2 linked regions of the Lonchura striata genome follow. The protein of the gene in region 1 purifies or fractionates together with the protein of each later gene. This does not show direct contact. Links are inferred from orthologs where the notes say so. Each region holds a gene or a part of one and is shown in the gene's direction. Other genes may lie near its edges. The genes, in order: RNF114 and PARP12.

Region 1 (8,632 bases):
TCCTCGCTGCTGCTCTTGCGCTCCTTGACCACGTCCACCTCGGAATAACCCTTGTCCTTCACCTGCAGGTGGATCTCCAGAAGCTGCTCGCACTCCACTTTGGCCAGGAAGAGCTCGAATGAAATCATTTTCACTTGAATGGCGTCGACCTGCTCTTTGAGCTTAAACGTCGTTCCCAGTTCTTGGACGTAGCCCATGTAGCTCAGAATCTGCCTCACGTCATCTTCCGCTAGAGCAGACTTGACATAATAAACAAAGGGTCCAGTGTAGGTCTGAGGGCCGGGGGGAATAAAAGGAAAACTGGGTTACAAATTCAGCGGTGGACTGGATGTTCGGATAATTCAGTGACAGAGACCGTATAATTAAATACAACAATAACGACTCTGAACACATGCAACTGCCTTGGCAAGATGAGCTCCATTTCTGCATCCCTCCTGCTCAGCAGATGGAAATTCCACATGAGGGAAATTCAAAGTAGGAGAGCTTTCATTCAATTTAAAATCCTGATTTGCATAATGTCCTCCCTGGTGATTTAAATCATTCTGCTCTGCACTTATATTAACTTTAATGCATACCGGACATGAATTTCTGAATTTACAGAAAGCCTGCCATGAAAGGCAAAAAGGTCAGGATTTGGGAACCACCCCATGCAGGGACAAGCTGCAGCTAACAGGAAATCAGAATTACTGCAGAGTGTCAAACTCTAATTCAGCCTTAAATATGCTTGAGGTGCACTCTTCTTTGTGTAGTTACTACACAGTTTCAACTGTCAGTTTTATTTAACTTAATATTGATTGAAAAACTCCCACAAAAAGATCCCCAAAAGCAGAGACATGAGATTCTGCAAGCTGAAATGCCCTCAGCACCTGAGGGATGTGCTTAGCCTGTTCTGAGTGCAGGCAGGAGCAGTCTGCCCATCACAGGCAAAAGATAAAACACAAAACTCAACTGCAGAGAGCTCCCAATGGGACTGCAGCACCCAAGCCCAGCAGTGACATCCCACTTTTCCCTCTGGGAACCTGCCTTAGGTAGATGCATTTGAAAGCACCTTAAAATCAAAACATCAGGAACTGAGCACTGACAAGCAGATCAAAGATATTCTGGAAACAACTCTTTTGCAAAAGTTCCTTCACTGTTATCACACAACTTGTGGAAACCTCGGCAAAGCATCCACTTGAACACATGCCCTGGGTTTAATACTTGTGTCCAGTAACAGCTGTGGCAAGACAAGTCAAACTCTGAGTCAGCTTGAATAAATCCAGCTTGACCACCCACCACAGTGAAAGCCTCTCCAAGCAGAAATAAAACAGTGCAGCAGGGGAGGCTGAACAACAACCTTAAATAAGCTCTTCTACTTTATACACATTCTCATTGCAGAAAGTGCTTGTACTTCTGCTCTGGGGATACTCTCATCAGCACAAGCTTCACTTATTTTACACAGGAACTTTCCTATGGCTTCTGTTTACCAACTGTATATCTATATTTATATATAATGCTATAAATGGGAAAAAGAGAAGCCTTCAAAGGAACGAATGAAATGCCTTCACAGAAAGAAAAATAGATCATGTTCTCACTATGGCTACATAAAAAGTCTTACCTTAATGTTTTTGAATTCCTTTTTCCAGGGGTACAGAAAGAGATTAATTCCAAGTGTCTCAAGCATGTTGAATGCATTATGGAGACAATGTAAACTTGAGGATTTCACAGATCTCAGTGAGTTTTCAGCCATCTCGTAAAATTTTATCAACCGGAATCTATAAAAGGGATCAATTTTGGGAAGGCAAAGTAAGGCTGCTGCTGCCACTCGCAAGTACTCATCGTTAATAGGACGCTGCTTGCTGTCAGAGGCGTTCAGTTTGCACTCGTGGAACTGTACATACTTCCTAAATAAATCGTCTTTGTATTTTGTATCCATTGAAATCAGATTTTCCCTCACGCTGGGGGCAGCTACCTCCTCTCTTTCATGGTTATTTGGCAGTGGGTTGGGTAGCTGGCATTAGGAATCTCCAGCAATGGCGACTGTCCTGGAATAAAGACTGAAAAGAAACACAAGTCATCCCAGGTGCACAGAGCCCAGACATCTCCTGCCCCTCACAGAGCTGCAGCTCCCTCACAGCCTCCCCAGGACTCTGAAAAGGCACAGGATCCACGGGAATGCCACCATCCTGCTTCCCAACGTCATTCCCCGCTCGTTTTCCAGGTCCCTGCCCACTCTGCTCATTCTGTGAAAGGATCTGCTTTTCCCCCTCGCCTCCTGTGGCACAGGACTGTCCCTAGGCTGAGCAGGTTTACTGACTTTGCCCTTTGATTTCTAACATTTTCACTGACATTCCTGCTGCTGGTACCTCCAAGCTGGGGCAGCTCCGCAGCCACCTCCAGAAGACCCACTCCCGACTGCTGCAAACCACAGCCCAAATCCCAGCTGAAAGCTGGCAGCTGCAAACACCACTGGGATCTTTTGGCAACAAAGCTACACCTGCCACCTTCAGCTGGTTATGGGAACCGAGTAAAACCATTGCTGTGCTTCTGTCAGTATGCTTTTGTTTACAGGGATAGCTGTTTTTACGGATATACTGATCTGCATTTTCAGTGCACTGAGCTCACACAGCTGAAATAGCTGGTGACAAGAGAATTTCCCAAATGCTGCTTCACCAGAACCAGGGTAATTAACAGGCCAAAAAAGACTCCATCTGCAATGCCTCAGGAACCTGTGATCACAAAGCAGACCACAGGCTTTATTTACTACATGAAAAGACAAACCAGCACCAGCTCTCGACCCCAGGGGAGAGGAGTTGGGAGAAGTCAGTGCACTGTTTCAGATGTAGTCAGTCTCAAACAGCACTTCAGAAAAGACTTTCCACCCTGTATCAACTGCAGCTGCTGGAACACCGATCAACACTCGCGTTGCAGGAAAATACTTGTTAAGAGCAAGACCAACTGAAGGAAAGGAGCCAAAACACAAAACACCAACAACCCAGAGGCCAGGGAAACAAACAAACAACAAAATCAACAGCCTGGCAGTTAACATCCCTCCACGAAAGGCTGTGCTCAGTGCCAGCCCCGTGTGGGGAAAGTTAAGTAGCAGTTCTGCTTCTCCTCCAAGGCACACGCACTCCTGTCAAGAGACAGGCTGTGAATCACAGGAAATGTGGAGTGCTAAATTAACATCTGAGCATAAGGGCCAGGAGCAGTGCCTTCCCTCCCCACATTCCTCCGCAAGTTGTGCAGGATGAAGTCTGCGGACAAAGACAGCAGAGCCTGTTCCTTGGCAAGAAGAGCTGCACGCGAGAATTGCAGAGAGATCTTTGTCTAGCACGCCAGCACAACACCCCCAGGACACGGAGCGATCCTGTGCCGGCATTCAGCACGACAGCCCTGCCATCCCCACTGCCAACACCCACCAAGCAGAGCGCCTGGCGACACGTGAGACACGGCAGGGCCAGCGGGCCCCGGTGACGGGAGAGACCTTCAGGGAGGTCCTGCATCTCCCAGAGCCCGTGGCAGCCCTGACTGCACCCCGTGCCCGGCACCTGAGCCAGGGCACAGCTTGGCAGCCAAGCCAGGGCGCAGCACTGTGCCATGGCACAGCCTGGCAGATGTGTCAGGGCACAGTCCAACACCCGAGCCATGGCACAGCCTGGCAGCCAAGCCAGGGCACAGCACTGAGCCATGGCACAGCCTGGCAGATGTGTCAGGGCACAGTCCAACACCCGAGCCATGGCACAGCCTGGCAGCTGAACCAGGGCACAGCACTGTGCCATGGCACAGCCTGGCAGATGTGTCAGGGCACAGTCCAACACCCGAGCCATGGCACAGCCTGGCAGCTGAACCAGGGCACAGCACTGTGCCATGGCACAGCCTGGCAGATGTGTCAGGGCACAGTCCAACACCCGAGCCATGGCACAGCCTGGCAGCTGAACCAGGGCACAGCACTGAGCCATGGCACAGCCTGGCAGCCGTGCCAGGGCTGCTCCAGCCCAGAGCCGCAGGCGGCCCGGCCTCTCGCGGTGCCCGCAGCCCACCCAGCAGCAACATCCATGGTTACGGGCTGCGGAGAGCTCGCGATGCGAGCAGCACGGATAAATATAGGTTTCACAGCTCCCGGCTGCCAGCAGGCACGGAGGAACGCTCTGCTGCAGGTGCTCCGCCGAAGGCCAGCGGCTGCCGGGGCTGCGCGAGCAGCGGCTGCCGAGCGGAGCGCGGTGCAGCTGCTGAGGCAGGACCGTTCCTAACCGTGCCCGGGGCACACCTCCCGGGAGCCAGCGGCCCCGGCCCCGCTGCCCCGCCGGTGCCACAGACCCGAGGGGCAGCGGGGGCACACGGGGCGAAGCCCGCTTGTCCCGCGGTGCGCCCTCCGCCCAGCGCTCCCGGTGCCGCCGCGGGACACGGCGCCGCAACCGGCGGCAGCGGGGGCAGCCCGCGCCGCCGGGGCCGGGACACTTGTTGCAGACCGGGCCGAGGAGCTCCGGGCACCGGCCGGGCCTCCGCGGCGGTACCGGCACCGGGAGCTCCCGCCGCCCCCGGCCGCCCCGCCGCCCGCCCGCCCGCCGCGGCCAAGCCCCCGCTCTGCGGCCTGCCCCGTCCCTCACCGCTCCGCTCCGCCGCCGGGAGCCGCCGCCGCTCCGGCGGAAGCGCCCGGGATGTGCCCGGTCCGGAGGCGCTGCCCGGCAGAGCCGCGGAGGCCCGGCCGGTGCCGCGGACGGAGCGCGCCGCGCTCACGGCTCGGGCAGGGCCGCGGCGGCGGCGGCGGCCCGGAACTGAACGGCGGGGCGGGAGCGCTTCCGCCGCGTGACGTCACGGGGCGGGGCCCGGCCCGCGGGCTGCGGGGGGACGAGCGGCGGCGGAGCGGCGGCGGGGCCGTGACACCACCGGCCGGCGGGGCCACGGCGTGCCGGAGCGGGGCTGCACCGGCCGGGCTGGGCCCCGCCCAGCGGCGGCTCCCGGGCCCGGCGGCGGCTCCCGGGCCCGGCGGCCCCGCCCGGCACGGCGGCCCCGCCCGCCCGGCGCGCCCCGCCCGCCGCCGGGCCCGGCCGCGCGTGCGCAGCGCCGCCCCCGCGGAAGATGGCGGCGGGCGGGCCGTCGCGGGCCCCCGAGCGGCGGCCGGACCCGCTGTCCCGCCTCACCTGCCCCGTGTGCCTCGAGGTGTTCGACTGCCCGGTGCGCGTCCCCTGCGGACACGTGTGAGCGCCGCCGGGGAGCGGGACCGGGACCGGGGCATGCGGGACCGGGAGCGGGGGATGCGGGAGGAGCCGCGGGGGATGCGGGAGCGGGGGATGCGGAGGAGCCGCCGCTCGGGCCCCGCCGTGCTGAGGGCGGCTCCGTGCCCCGGCACCGGGGCCAGGGGCGGCCTTGAAGGGAGAAAGCGAAAGAAAAGCGGGGGAAAGGAAGCCTGCGTTCTTCTGTTCCGCTTCCCTGACGGGACGAGGGCAGCGGCTCTCACCGCCGCAGGGCAGGCTGAGGCGGGGTGCGGGGGTGAAATCCCTCCCTGGCACAGCCGGGGCTGCCCTGGATCCCTGGCAGTGCCCCAGGCCAGGCTGGACGCGGTTTGGAGCAGCTGGGGCAGTGGGAGGTGTCCCTGACATGGCAGGGCTGGCACTGGGCGGACTTTAAGGTCCCTTCCAACCCAAACCGTTCCATGATTCTGTCCAGAAGCTGAGGGCACAGACCACTGTCCAACAGTAAACACTTCTGGGTGTGACAGCCTGGGATCCCTCATGCCCAGGAGCCAGCAGCTCCTTCTTACCCATCTTTATCAGTCTCAAGCCCCTGCTACGCCTTTGGGCAGAGCTGTGCAAGGGCAGCAGGCACTGCGGGTGCCCAGAGGGCTGTCTCACCACCTCCTCCTTTTCTCCCGCCTCAGCTTCTGCACACCGTGCCTGCAGGAATGTCTGAAGCCCAAAAAGCCAGTCTGTGGGGTGTGCCGCAGCACCCTGTCGCCTGGGAGCAGAGCTCTGGACTTGGAAAAGCAAATTGAAACTACAGAAACCACTTGCAACGGCTGCAATAAAAAAGTATGAAAGCGTTTGGAAATTCAGTACATGAGATGTGTCCCCCTAGGGGAAGATGAACTGCTTCCTCCTCAGCTTTCTGCAAAATCAGGTCAAAGTGTTTGTTCTGATATGTGCTAAAGCTGTTTGATATAGGCAGCACACAGATGTTGACATTCTTTCCACAGTTTTTTGTTGTTACCTCTTCAGGAAATGAATTTCTAATGAAAGATTCTGATTATAAAGTTACAGTGGGATGTTGCTGCTGTGAGCAGGGGTGCATGGTGACATACCACAGAGAGCAGAGTTACACCTTAACTAATCTGTAATCTCAAACGTTTTCTGCTTGGCCAGCTGAGGTATTTGGAGTTCCTGCTTTACCTCTTGTGCTGAAAGCTGCTGGCTTTACACGTTTGCTGCTTTGTTCAGGAGGTGCTGTGAGCTCACCTGCTGTGTTGTTGTTGCCTGCACAGATGTACCTGTCCAAGATGCGCAGCCACGCAGCCTCCTGCTCCAAGTACCAGAATTACATCATGGAAGGTGTGAAAGCTGTGACGAAAGAGCCCCTCCACAGCACCAGGTAATGCCTCTGCTCTGCAATCCTGCCCTTCTCTGGCACAACAAAGAGTTTGGAAGTAAAAGCAGACTTCACCTCTTTGCTCAGTTTGGGTGCTGATTTTTATGGAGTTAAAAACTGAGCCTTGATCCTGCAGCTGGCTGTGCCCAGGTAAATTCTGCTGCTTCTGCTTGGACACCTCTAAGAACAGGGCATTCTGTAGGTGCAGCTGTTTTCTAAAATACCTTGGTCTCCTGATTGTACTCGCCCACAGAGGAGGGAAGTGGGAATTGGTGACTAGTGAGTGGTGCCCTGGCATTGGAGAAAACTGATAAATGGCACTTAGAACATTTGCAGAAAAACTGTAATTCAGTCTAAACACCGAGTTCCCTAAAATACTGTTAGGAGTTTACAAACCGATTGCTAAATTAATTGCATACATAAATTACTGCCTTGAATAATCTGTATTTGTAAATAACCTTTTCTCCCCAACCAGGAGCTTCCCGAATCGCTTCACCTTCCCCTGCCCGTACTGCAGTGAGAAGAACTTTGATCAAGAAGGGCTGGTTGAGCACTGCAAAGCTTTGCACAGCATGGATGCAAAACAAGTGGTAATAAAAAGTCTTGGTGCAAGAATTGCAATTAAGTCTGGTCTTAAAGCCCTTTGAAACAGTAAGTTAGAGACTTTTGAATTAAGTAGGTGTAATTTCTGCTGTTCAGTCAGTGTGGCTGTGCTGGTCATGCCTCTAAGTCTGGTGTGGTTCTGCTCTCACTTTTCAGTGGCTTTCTGCACTGCAGCTGGGCCACATCCTCTTTTCATCCTTGAAAAATGGCACACATTCAAAGTGAATTAGGCACAGCAAAGCAGTAAAATATAATTTAAAAAAATACTAGACATTTAATTTTCTCCTTGTTTTCCCCCTTGTTTTCAGCAAGAAGATACTATTAACTGCTAGGAGAAATGCTTGTGAAAAATAGCGTATCATTCTATCTGTGATACTTCCTTTTATGTAAGAGGAATTGCAAAACGTGGAATTGAATTGGAAACTTTCATTTTTCTGGGAAGTTTTTTGGAATTCGAGATAATTCAGGAAAATAAAGTTCCTTTTTTCTCTTGGCAAGAAGTGAACTTTGTAGAGAAGACCAAGGAAACTTTCCTGCATGGTGAAATAAAGGATGAAATCTTCTAAAGCAGGAGGCTTTAATGAGTTCTGATTTTCAGAACATGGGAGAAGAGTAAGCCATGCCATTTCAGGAATCTAAGACATGAATTAGAATTACTCAGGGTTATCTGAGGCTTTTTCAGTAAATGTCCCAGCAAGTCAGTGGCCATCACTTTGCATGGAGAGCAGTGACAGCACAAACCTTGAGCTCCACTCCCCCAGGGCTGTCCCTCCCTTCTGCTGTCAGCGTTTAAGCACTGAAGCACTGGACCTAACTGGCTTTTTCTTTGAAGGTTTGCCCAATTTGTGCCTCAATGCCGTGGGGGGACCCCAATTACAGGAGTGCTAACTTCATGGAGCACCTGCAGAGGCGGCACCGCTTTTCCTACGACACCTTTGTGGTAGGTGTTGGCTCCCCCTGGCAGCGCAGCCGGGGCTCCTGGAGCTCCCTGTGCCACCCCAGCACATCCCTGTGCCATCCCTGGCGTGCCCAGGGCTCAGGGGCCTGCAGCTCCTGCTGCTGCCACGGCACTGCAGCATGGCTCTGCAGCGAAAGCCTTTCTGCCTCTTGCAGGACTACGATGCTGATGAGGATGATATGATGGCACAGGTTTTGATGCGCTCTCTGCGGGATAAGTGATCCAGCCAGAAGATTTCCTGCAAACCCAAGCTTCCACGAGGGGGAAATGCCCAGCATCCTTGCACTTCTCCCTGCACATCCCAAGATTAACTCAGGCATCCAGAAGTATAGAAGACTTTAATCCTATCTCAGTTTTAAATCCTGGTTTGATATTTCTGTGCCATTCAGTCCTTTGGTATCATGGTCTCTGACATTTAGCCCTGTCAGCCCCATTTTTCTACTTGCTTAGACTCAGTTTCATGTAGATCAACACGTGGGAACCAAGGCTTTTACCTTTACCTATGCC
Region 2 (9,442 bases), on another chromosome or scaffold:
CCACAAGACAACCTTGGGAGTTTTCACTGCAACAAGGAAGTTTCAACGAAAAGTAGGGATTAGCAGCTGGAAAATAAAGCTGGAAGTTTCTGATTTCTTGCAAAAGCAGTTTTAAGTTGGGTTTTTTTTTTGTTTTTTTTTTTTCCCAATCAGTTTAACCTTATAAAAATGACAACCATCTAGCCATAATATAGCAAGGGTTTTTTGAGCTACTACGTGCAGACATAGCATTTTCATTCATAAGTATTGCCTGATATCATGAACATATCTCTTCATAGAGCTGATAGAGGTTAATCCTTACCAATGGAATTTCATATTTTGTCCAGCAGAGGATGAAACACCACATGATGAGGGCAACTTTTGTATTGTTGCTAATTGCAGTGCAGAATGAAATGTGACAGGATTCAGTAACTGTCCTGGTCCCTGACAAGTTACTTTTTATTTTTTACTCCCAAGAAACTTTGAAAAAACTTTGAAAAACAGTTAAGTTAGGTCTGAAATGTTAGGTCTGCATGCATGATAAGCAAATCATACAAAGATAAGCGGTTTGGTGGCAACTCCTACGTTAATGAAAATAGAGTTGATGTTCACTATCTGTCAACAGGGAGGTCACTCCCACCTGAAAGTGGAATGCTTAAAGGAAGAATTAACAGACACATTGAGATTCAGTTTGTTAAAACTGTAGATAATACAGACAGTGGATAATACAGTAGCAAATGCAGGAAAAACTGCTGCAAGATCAGCAATAGGCTTCTGACTTCGGCCAATTTACTGCTCATTTGAGGATCACTGTAGATTTAAAGAGGCTTCTTAAGATGTTTCTGAAAGGTTGAGAAAGCCAGTGTACAAGATTATGGGTATATGTGAACACATTATCTTTTTGAGAGTATGAAAAAGAACAAAAGCATAAGGCTTACACAATAAACAGACATTTACAGTGGCACAAGCAATAAAATGTTCAACAGAATAAGACTAGAAGTGTGCCAGTGACAAATAACAGCATCATTAACTGTAGAGTGAATTTTCAGCCCCAATTTTTTTTTATTTTCACAAGCAAGACCTCTTGAAACTTATCTAATTAACCAAACTGTATGCAACACAATTTTTTGCATATTATATTAGGCTGGTTTATTATTATAAAACAGACAATTCGTCCTAGATGCTGCCCAGACTATGTGCTTGCCTGTGAAAATATATGTTTACATTTGTATCCTGAGGCAAGAGCAAAAAATGAGGATTTATCCTGCTCTTTGCAGAGTCTGCAAGATCCCTGGGACAGCCAACAGCCCCACAGTCTGGTGCTTTTCACATACTGCAACAGAACTGAGTTTCCTGTTACTTGCTTTCAAGTTGTGGGTGCATGTGTTACCTGTGGGATGGCTGATTTTTAGGTTAACATGACACTAGGAGACTCTTGGGATGGTAGCTGTAAGGTCCATATGCTGTCAATTAGTACAGATTTCAGAAACACTAGCTGTAGGTGAAGAAATTAGAGAAGTACACAGAAATAATAGGTTGATGGAACTGATTACAAGTATACAAGACCAAAGACTGCATGGCCTTCGTATACAAGACCAAAGACTGCATGGCCTTCAAATAAAACAATCAAAACAAATCTGAGCAAAGACCAAATTAAATGTGGAATCCCAACATATCAATTATTTGGAATAAAATTTTACCCATTTTGATGAAGGTGGATGGGACACCTGTATTTAACCCAGAAAAGGAACATATATAAATTATATGTGTTTGATGAACAGCAAATACAAGCCATAATAAACCAGCCAGTTGCAGACAAAAGAATGGAAAGTTTAGCTGTGTTTAACTATGTTGCCAGACCATCAGTGGGACAACAACTAACCCTCAATTGTGTGTTTAAATGTAGGTTGACAGGCAACCAAAAACAGCTGCAAGCAAACATATCACACTTCTGTCTTCTTCTGCCCATTTTCTTTACATCTCCCACAACAGACAATACAAAGCCAGGAGTTTCACCATGCTAGCTGGAAGGAAGACTGAAATACGTGGATGGGGTGGGAAGTGGAGGCATCATGCACCTAGCAACAATGGATGTTTTAAAGATGCATATGAAAATTCACAGGAAAATCATTAAATTACTACATTTTGAATATTGATGCAAACAAGATTAAGAAATGATGCCACAGTTCAAATTAACACAACTATCCATAAATTGTTCCTAAAAATAAAGATGTCAGTCTAATGACTGACATCTGCTAATTTCTAAAGTAAAGTTTTCATAGCGCAATACATCAGATTTTAACAAAGGTGGCTCACTAAAATTGCAGTACCTAAAGTCCCACAGTTATGAAAACCCCATGTGGTCTGAGTTCAGCAGCTGTTTAGAAGCTTTAGGAACTGCTTAGAGGGAGTTTATTTCAGGACCAATGTGCACAGCAGTCATTACTGCAGGTAGAGCAGCTCATATGCAATTATGCTACAATGACATTTAAGAAAACAGCCTTACCTTTAATTACAGTATTTGAGAGATGAAGAGGAGCCACTTTCCTTAGGTGCCCTTCATGGCTAATGGCAGTTAATTTTATAAATTAAAATTGACTTTTCTGTTAGCTGATAATTCTTCTTCTGAAGAAGAAAGTACAATTTTGCTTATATATAATTCATAGGTGGGGAAGTTGTATCAAATCAAAGGGGTACTTTTATTCTTCCTGAGGAACATGCCACAAAACAAGCTACAAGAAACTTGTGTGAGAAAGAATAATTTATGATTTATTTTGGGTATGAATTCAGACTTGGGAAGGTGCTGTAATTCAAAGGCATCTCTGCAAACCCTCTCTCTGCATCAATCATTGCTTGTTTTCATACTTTTACTTTTGTTCTCCATGAGAAAGAGACAGAGTTATAGCTCTACTCCACAGCCTCAAAAAAACTCACTCAGGAGTTCCTGCAGAGCAGGAACAGCCATGTGAACTTCCCTGTGATACACATGCCAACATTTTGGAATGAATTGCAATGGTGTAAAGCTACCTGAAATCACCCCTCCAACCCTGATCTTACACTGCTCTTCTTTCTTGGTACTCCTCTCTACATAATGTTGACATTGGCATAGTCATTCATACCAATTTTATCATTAAAAAATCACCATATTTCTGCCAAATGAATGGGGTTTTTTAGATGCATGAGGAAAGAAACTCTGAAAGGAAGATACAATTGAAACAGCTACCTGGACTGTACAGTGATGTTGGGACAGATCTTTAAGATGTAAAAAGTTGGGAACTGGCTTGATAGGATGGATTTTGGGTCAGAAAAAGTAAATAGATGCTAGGGAGAATTAGAGTTATTGAGTACAATGCTGCTTCAATGTTTTTTATGCTAAAGTGTTCCCTGAGTTTTGGTTCAGTCAAGATATCTCCCACTGATGGGGCACTTATCTAATGCATCTATCCAGTAATTTAAGACCATTAGACAAAACAGCAAAATAAGGAGGCTTCCACCCATATTCTCTTTCAGTGATGAAACAGCTGGATTTGGGTTTGGACCAGATGACCTCCTATGGCCTCTTTCCACCTCAACTGTTCTGTGATACTGTCAATCACTATCAGTGGTGTGTGATCTCTCTCTTTAAAGTGCCTTACCACCAGGTGACCGTCAGTGACAAATGTGACCATCTGCAGGTCTGCCCCTCAAGGAAAGACTGTCTTAAGGAAGAAAGGATGACAAAGACACTCCAATCTACGGAATTACTTCCACAGAACATGTGACTCTCCAGCCTCTCATGTTGTCTCCTAAACATTTGTTGATGGCCTGTCACAGGCAAGCTACAGATAGATCTCTGTGAAAGAGTACCTGTACTCTGGCTGAGTAGAGCTGGTTTTCCATTCAGTGCACTTTTCTAGATTCTACTTTTTGTCATTTCCTTCCTGATCTCACAGGGCAAGCAGGAAGTAAGATGAGGCAAGGGGAAAGGCACAACTAGACTGGCAAAAGAAGAAAGGAGACAGGACTCTTGTTCGATGAGAACCACCATCAGTGAGAGTCCCCATGGCTTCCACTGCTAGTCTGACTGAAATGATGGCACTTTAGCATCATTGTTCTGCCACCATTTAAAGCATGCTTCTGAGTGACTGTTGTTTTAAATTTGGTCCCTATATGTCCAATTTAATAAACCACAAGATTTAAAATTTAGCAGCAATTTTAATTGAGGCATAAAATAATAATGCAATCAAATATAATTCAGTAGTTACAAAAAGAAATTTGGCAGTGGTGTGGATAAAGCATAAGCAAAACTGACCAGGGTACAGGGAGGACTTTCTACCCTGCCTCCCATACGAAGGATCCAAACACAACGTATATACTGTGTGCTAATACATATTCATCAATAGTTCCATAAATCTCCTCCCATTTTTCATTCTTGAAATCTACATCACTCTACTGCACAGCGCGTGCTCCCATTGTTGCTATGGGGTCTTTTGGTCTCTTCAGGGCTCTTCTAGGAGGAAGGCTGAAGGTCTTCCTCACATGTCCTCTGGGATAACCTGGCAGGTGGCACATGCACATTAATCTTGGTGTTATACAAGTAAGCACTATGTTCCAATTAAACCTCATTTATTTCATAGATAAGACCACTATTTTAGACTCCCTGTCTGGAATGGTCCCAGCTTTATTCATATTCAAGGTCAATCTTGCTCTGGGAGTTGTCTTTTAACTTCAGTTTATGCCAGTTTTGGTTTGGGAGTCAGTTCCTGACTTCCTCCATTTCCAATGCCAAATCCAACTCCTGCACCCTATTTCCCACATGTATTCCCATCTGCTTCATAACACTAATCACATATACTTTTCCAATTATTTTCCCAAATTTATTGATATAATTACGATTTTGTTAGCACAGATCACAACCATTTATAACACTGTGATGCAGAACCAGGAGTGTCAAAACGACCCAGGAAAAGGCACTTAATTAAAAGAAGGGCACCCTTCTAAGGAGTCTGTGACTTCCCAGAGGATGAGGACATTGCTTGGCCGCACTGGTGCCATGGCTGCTGTGCAGGCAGAAGCAGTGGTGTACCACCGTGTAGCAGGTGCCACTACGAGCACTGCAAGCAGGGCAGGGCAGTGTGCCTACACGTGTGACCATGACCGAGCTTTTAATTTAGATGTTGAAAGAAGCGTGAGAGCAGCCGTCACGATGTATCGTCAGGAAAGTGGCACAGGTCAGAAACCTTAACTGAGATGTTTTTGACGGCAGAATTCACACACCAGCCTTCTCCCTGTAACTTAAGGTTAAATCACCTGGCTGATGCTCCATTCATCCCTGGGTCCGCTTTTTCCTATAGGGAATGTGTGACCACCCAGCTGCCATCCCTTTTTGGTGACATGTGATTGAACACGGTCAATACATCCTGAAAGCCAGGCACAGGAGGGAGGAGCAGGGCCGGGTGCCGCTGTCCGTGCGCCGCATCACCCACAGCAAGGCGCTCCCCGGCGGGGGCAGAGCGAACGCCCCGGGCCGAGGCGGTCCCGCTCCTCTCGGGCTCTTTCACTTTCGTTTCCGTTTCCGTCGCTTTCCCGGGAGGCGCTTCCCGGCCATGGCGCTGGCGGTGCAGGCGCTGCGGGTGCTGTGCGCTAGCGGCGGCTGCCTGGAGCAGGGCGAGCTGCGGCGGCGGCTGCCGGCGCGGCCCTCGGCCGAGCAGCTGGCGGCCGTGCTGCGGGACGCGCAGCGCTTCACGCTGGTGCGCCGGCCCGGCCGGGCGGCGGCCGCGGCCGAGGCCGAGGTGGCCGTGGTGGTGGCCACCAGCCCCGTGCGGCTGTGCCCGGAGCACGTCGCGGGCTGCCCGGGGCAGTGCGGGCAGCTGCACATCTGCAAGTACCACCTGAAGGGCTTCTGCCGCAACCAGCTGGCCAGGTGAGGGGCGGGCGCGGCCGCCATGGCGGGGGCTCGGCCTTGGGCAGGGCGTGGAGCGATCAGGAGAGGCCTTTCCGCGTGGAAATGCTCGCTGGCCGTGAGCACCCCAATTTATTTGTGCGTGTGTTGTTGCAAAGGAGGCAGACACAGGCGGTTGTTTCATAGCTTTGGGTCGCAGCACTTCCTCCCTGGCTCGTCACCCTGGCGCTTCCTTGTCCGTGGGCAGGGCTGTGCCAGGGGAAAGCTGAGTGTCCCCCCGCACATCCCTGAGCTGCGGGACCCTGGGTGATGTGCTAAAGCTGAGTGTCCCCGCACATCCCTGTGCTGCGGGACCCTGGGCAGTGTGCTAAAGCTGAGTGTCCCTGCACATCCCTGAGCTGCGGGACCCTGGGTGATGTGCTAAAGCTGAGTGTCCCCGCACATCCCTGAGCTGCGGGATCCTGGGTGATGTGCTAAAGCTGAGTGTCCCCGCACATCCCTGTGCTGCGGGACCCTGGGTGATGTGCTAAAGCTGAGTGTCCCCGCACATCCCTGAGCTGCGGGACCCTGGGCAGTGTGCTAAAGCTGAGTGTCCCTGCACATCCCTGAGCTGCGGGACCCTGGGCAGTGTGCTAAAGCTGAGTGTCCCCCCGCACATCCCTGTGCTGCGGGACCCTGGGTGATGCACTCAGGGGCTGAGAGGGGATGATGCTCTGGAGCTTTGGTGGTTTTGTGGTTGTGAGCTGCAGGTCCAAAATGCCGATATTGTCAGAGTGCACTAAGGCTATAATGACTGTGAATCAGAAGCAGCGTGGCAATTATCCTCAGAATAATTATGTAATCTGCTTTGCAAATTACATAATGGCTTTATAGAAGAGCAATGTGGGTTTTTCTGAAACGAGCTAATTTGGTGTGCTTTTCCAGCTTTCAGTGTAATGCCCATGGGGTGTCAAAATATGCCAGTCATTTTGCTGTTCGGTTTCTTGAGTTCTAGGAAGGGATGCAGGTTTGTTCACAGCTTCCACTCAGACCACAATCTCCGTGTTCTAAAGCAATATGGACTTGAGAATTTAAACCATGATGAACTTTGCCAGCTTCTGCTTCAAAATGACCCTTCCCTCTTACCAGAGGTGAGTATTACTGTAACAGCTTCTTAGCCTTGTGTTTCAGTGGGCATGACAATATGGAAGAGGCTTTACAGAGATGGAGATATTGAGTGTCAATTTAGTTAGCTTAATGCAAATCTAAAAATAAATCTGCATCCTCTGTTCTCACCTGTGGTGGATTGACCCTAGCTGGCAGCTAAGCTCTTGAACAGACCCTCACCCACTCCTCACTCCCCCACCACAAGCAGAGGAGATGAGCATTAACTAGAAGAAAAAAAGTGGCAAAACCTGTGAATGGAGATAAAGACATTGTAGCAAGGGGAGGAAAGCAGGGAGAAGTGTTGCAAAAGAGAACTTCTGCTTCACCACCTCAGAGCCCAACAAGTCTCTGAGCAAGTGCTACCTTGTAAGAAGGACCCATCTCCCCCTTCTTTCACCTTCCCTCTGTCCCTTTCCTCACTATTTTTTTTTTTTTTTTTGAGGATGACATTATGTGGCATGGAATATCCCTCTGGCCAATTTGGACTATTTCCTAGTTTTGGCTGGAATACAGTTAATTTTCTTTCTAGTAGCTGGTACAATGCTGTGTTTTGAATTCAGGATGAGAACAATGTTGATAACACTCATGTTTTTGGTTTTGCTGAGCAGTGCTTGCTCTAAGTCAAGGACTTTTCAGCTTTTCATACTGCCCTGCTAGCCAGTAGACTGGGAGTGCACAAGAAGCTGGAAGGGAATGCAGCCAAGAGAGCTGACCCAAACTGGACAGAAGGATATTCTATACCATATGAAATAATTCTGAACAGTGAAACTGAGGGGAGGTGGCCCAGGGATGGTGGTACATTGAGGGGTCCGGCTGGGCTTTGGTCAGTGAGTGGTGAGCAGTTTCATTGTGCATCACTTGTTTTGTCTATTGTTTTATCATTATTATCTCCTCTTCCTTTTATGCCATATAAACTGTTTACCTCAACCCTGGAGGGCGGGAGTGAGAGGCTGTGTGGTGTTTATTTGTTCTGGTTTCAGTTAAGGTAGAGTTAATTTTCTTACTGGTATCATGAACAGGGCTGTATTTTGGATTTAACCCACTGAGTGCTTACTTTCAGTCAAGGCCTTTTCAGCTTCCCATGCTCTGCTAGTGAGGAGGTGCACGAGGAGCCAGGAGGGAGCATGGCCAGGACAACTGACCCAAACAGACCAAACCAATACTGTTTTGGTCACAAACCCAAAACATAGTGTGGTATGGTCTGCTATGAAGAAAGTTAACTCCATCCCAGCCATATCCAGTATGTCTTACCATCAAGTTGGGATGAAAAAGATTCCAAAACTATTCCAAAACTAGAAAATCGAAGAAGTGTGACTTAGCACTAAGTTCCATCTTGAGAATGTCTGTAAGAATGTTTCTAAACATTAGCAGGGCAAAGGAAAAGCTATCAAGCAGTCATTTGGAAAACAAGAAGAAAGAAGAAATGTTTCTGTCAAAAGCAAATGTATGCACATTGTAGCCAAATAATGGATTCAAATAGTCTAAATAAGCACATTGTACTTTGATGTTTAAATTCTTTTTTTCTTCTCCTTCCCAAGGTCTGCTTGCATTATAACAAAGGTGATGGACTTCATGGATCTTGTTCCTTTAAAACATCTTGCACCAAACTTCATGTTTGCCAGTACTTTTTGCGGGGTCAGTGCAGATTTGGCAGCAGCTGCAAACGGTCCCATGACTTATTAAATCCAGAATGTTTTGAGAAACTGGAGAGACAGGGGATGAGCTCAGACATTATTAAGAAACTACCTTCCACTTATAGAAACATGTATGACATAAAAAATGGCAACAGAAACATGTATGACATAGAAGATGTCAAATCTTCACCATGCAAAGGTAAATAACATGATCTTTTGAATTCATCAGAAGAGTCATGGTAGTGAATTTAATATTTTTGCTGGTGTCATTAAGAAAACTGAATTTACATTTTGGTTTGTACCTATCTCACTGACAAAGGTCTTTGTCTTGACAAATGAAATCAAGAGTGGTTCCTGAGAAATAGAGTGCTGATGTTAATGAAATTCTTAAACTTGGGATTAAAAAAGAGTAACAGGAACTGGAAATAGGGAGCGCTATAATTTTGGAGTTTTTTAGGTAAAATACATAAAGGTAGAGACCTGTTTAAGAATAGGAGTGGTGGTTGTCTGATTATGAGCTATTTAATTCTTTGTCTTTAATGTAGTGATTGTCTAGCACAAGAATTCACAAACAGCACTATCCTAGTTATTTCTCAGAAGTGTAATATTTTGTTTGCACTTTTCTTTTGAAGTTTTTTAGAATTGTAAGTTAAGTATAATTTAGCAGGCAAAAAAAAGGGTTAACAGAATGGAGAAGTCAAGTGTGTATGCTCATCTATCTCTTTTATTCTGCCTGCAGTTCCTTCTTCCTTTGCTTAATGTGCTTTAATTTACAGAGTATCAGATTTTGAAACTTTGCATT

The links.
Region 2: the proteins of RNF114 (region 1) and PARP12 purify together in Homo sapiens (affinity purification with mass spectrometry; 3 studies listed by BioGRID and IntAct, counting the BioPlex papers as one, with this or other methods). This does not show direct contact. The link is inferred for Lonchura striata from reciprocal best matches to the Homo sapiens genes RNF114 and PARP12.

The regions. Positions count from the first base shown.
Region 1 is NC_134619.1:874,043-882,674, forward strand, and holds the start of RNF114 (E3 ubiquitin-protein ligase RNF114), read left to right. Parts: upstream 1-5,038; 5' UTR 5,039-5,061; coding exon 5,062-5,180; intron 5,181-5,860; coding exon 5,861-6,011; intron 6,012-6,460; coding exon 6,461-6,567; intron 6,568-7,039; coding exon 7,040-7,154; intron 7,155-7,999; coding exon 8,000-8,107; intron 8,108-8,280; coding exon 8,281-8,346; 3' UTR 8,347-8,632. Other genes in the region: SPATA2 (spermatogenesis-associated protein 2), read right to left, coding at 1-272, 1,598-1,915. UniProt on the Homo sapiens protein: E3 ubiquitin-protein ligase that promotes the ubiquitination of various substrates. In turn, participates in the regulation of many biological processes including cell cycle, apoptosis, osteoclastogenesis as well as innate or adaptive immunity.
Region 2 is NC_134607.1:18,970,787-18,980,228, reverse strand, and holds the start of PARP12 (protein mono-ADP-ribosyltransferase PARP12), read left to right. Parts: upstream 1-5,556; 5' UTR 5,557-5,564; coding exon 5,565-5,881; intron 5,882-6,848; coding exon 6,849-6,990; intron 6,991-8,544; coding exon 8,545-8,839; intron 8,840-9,442.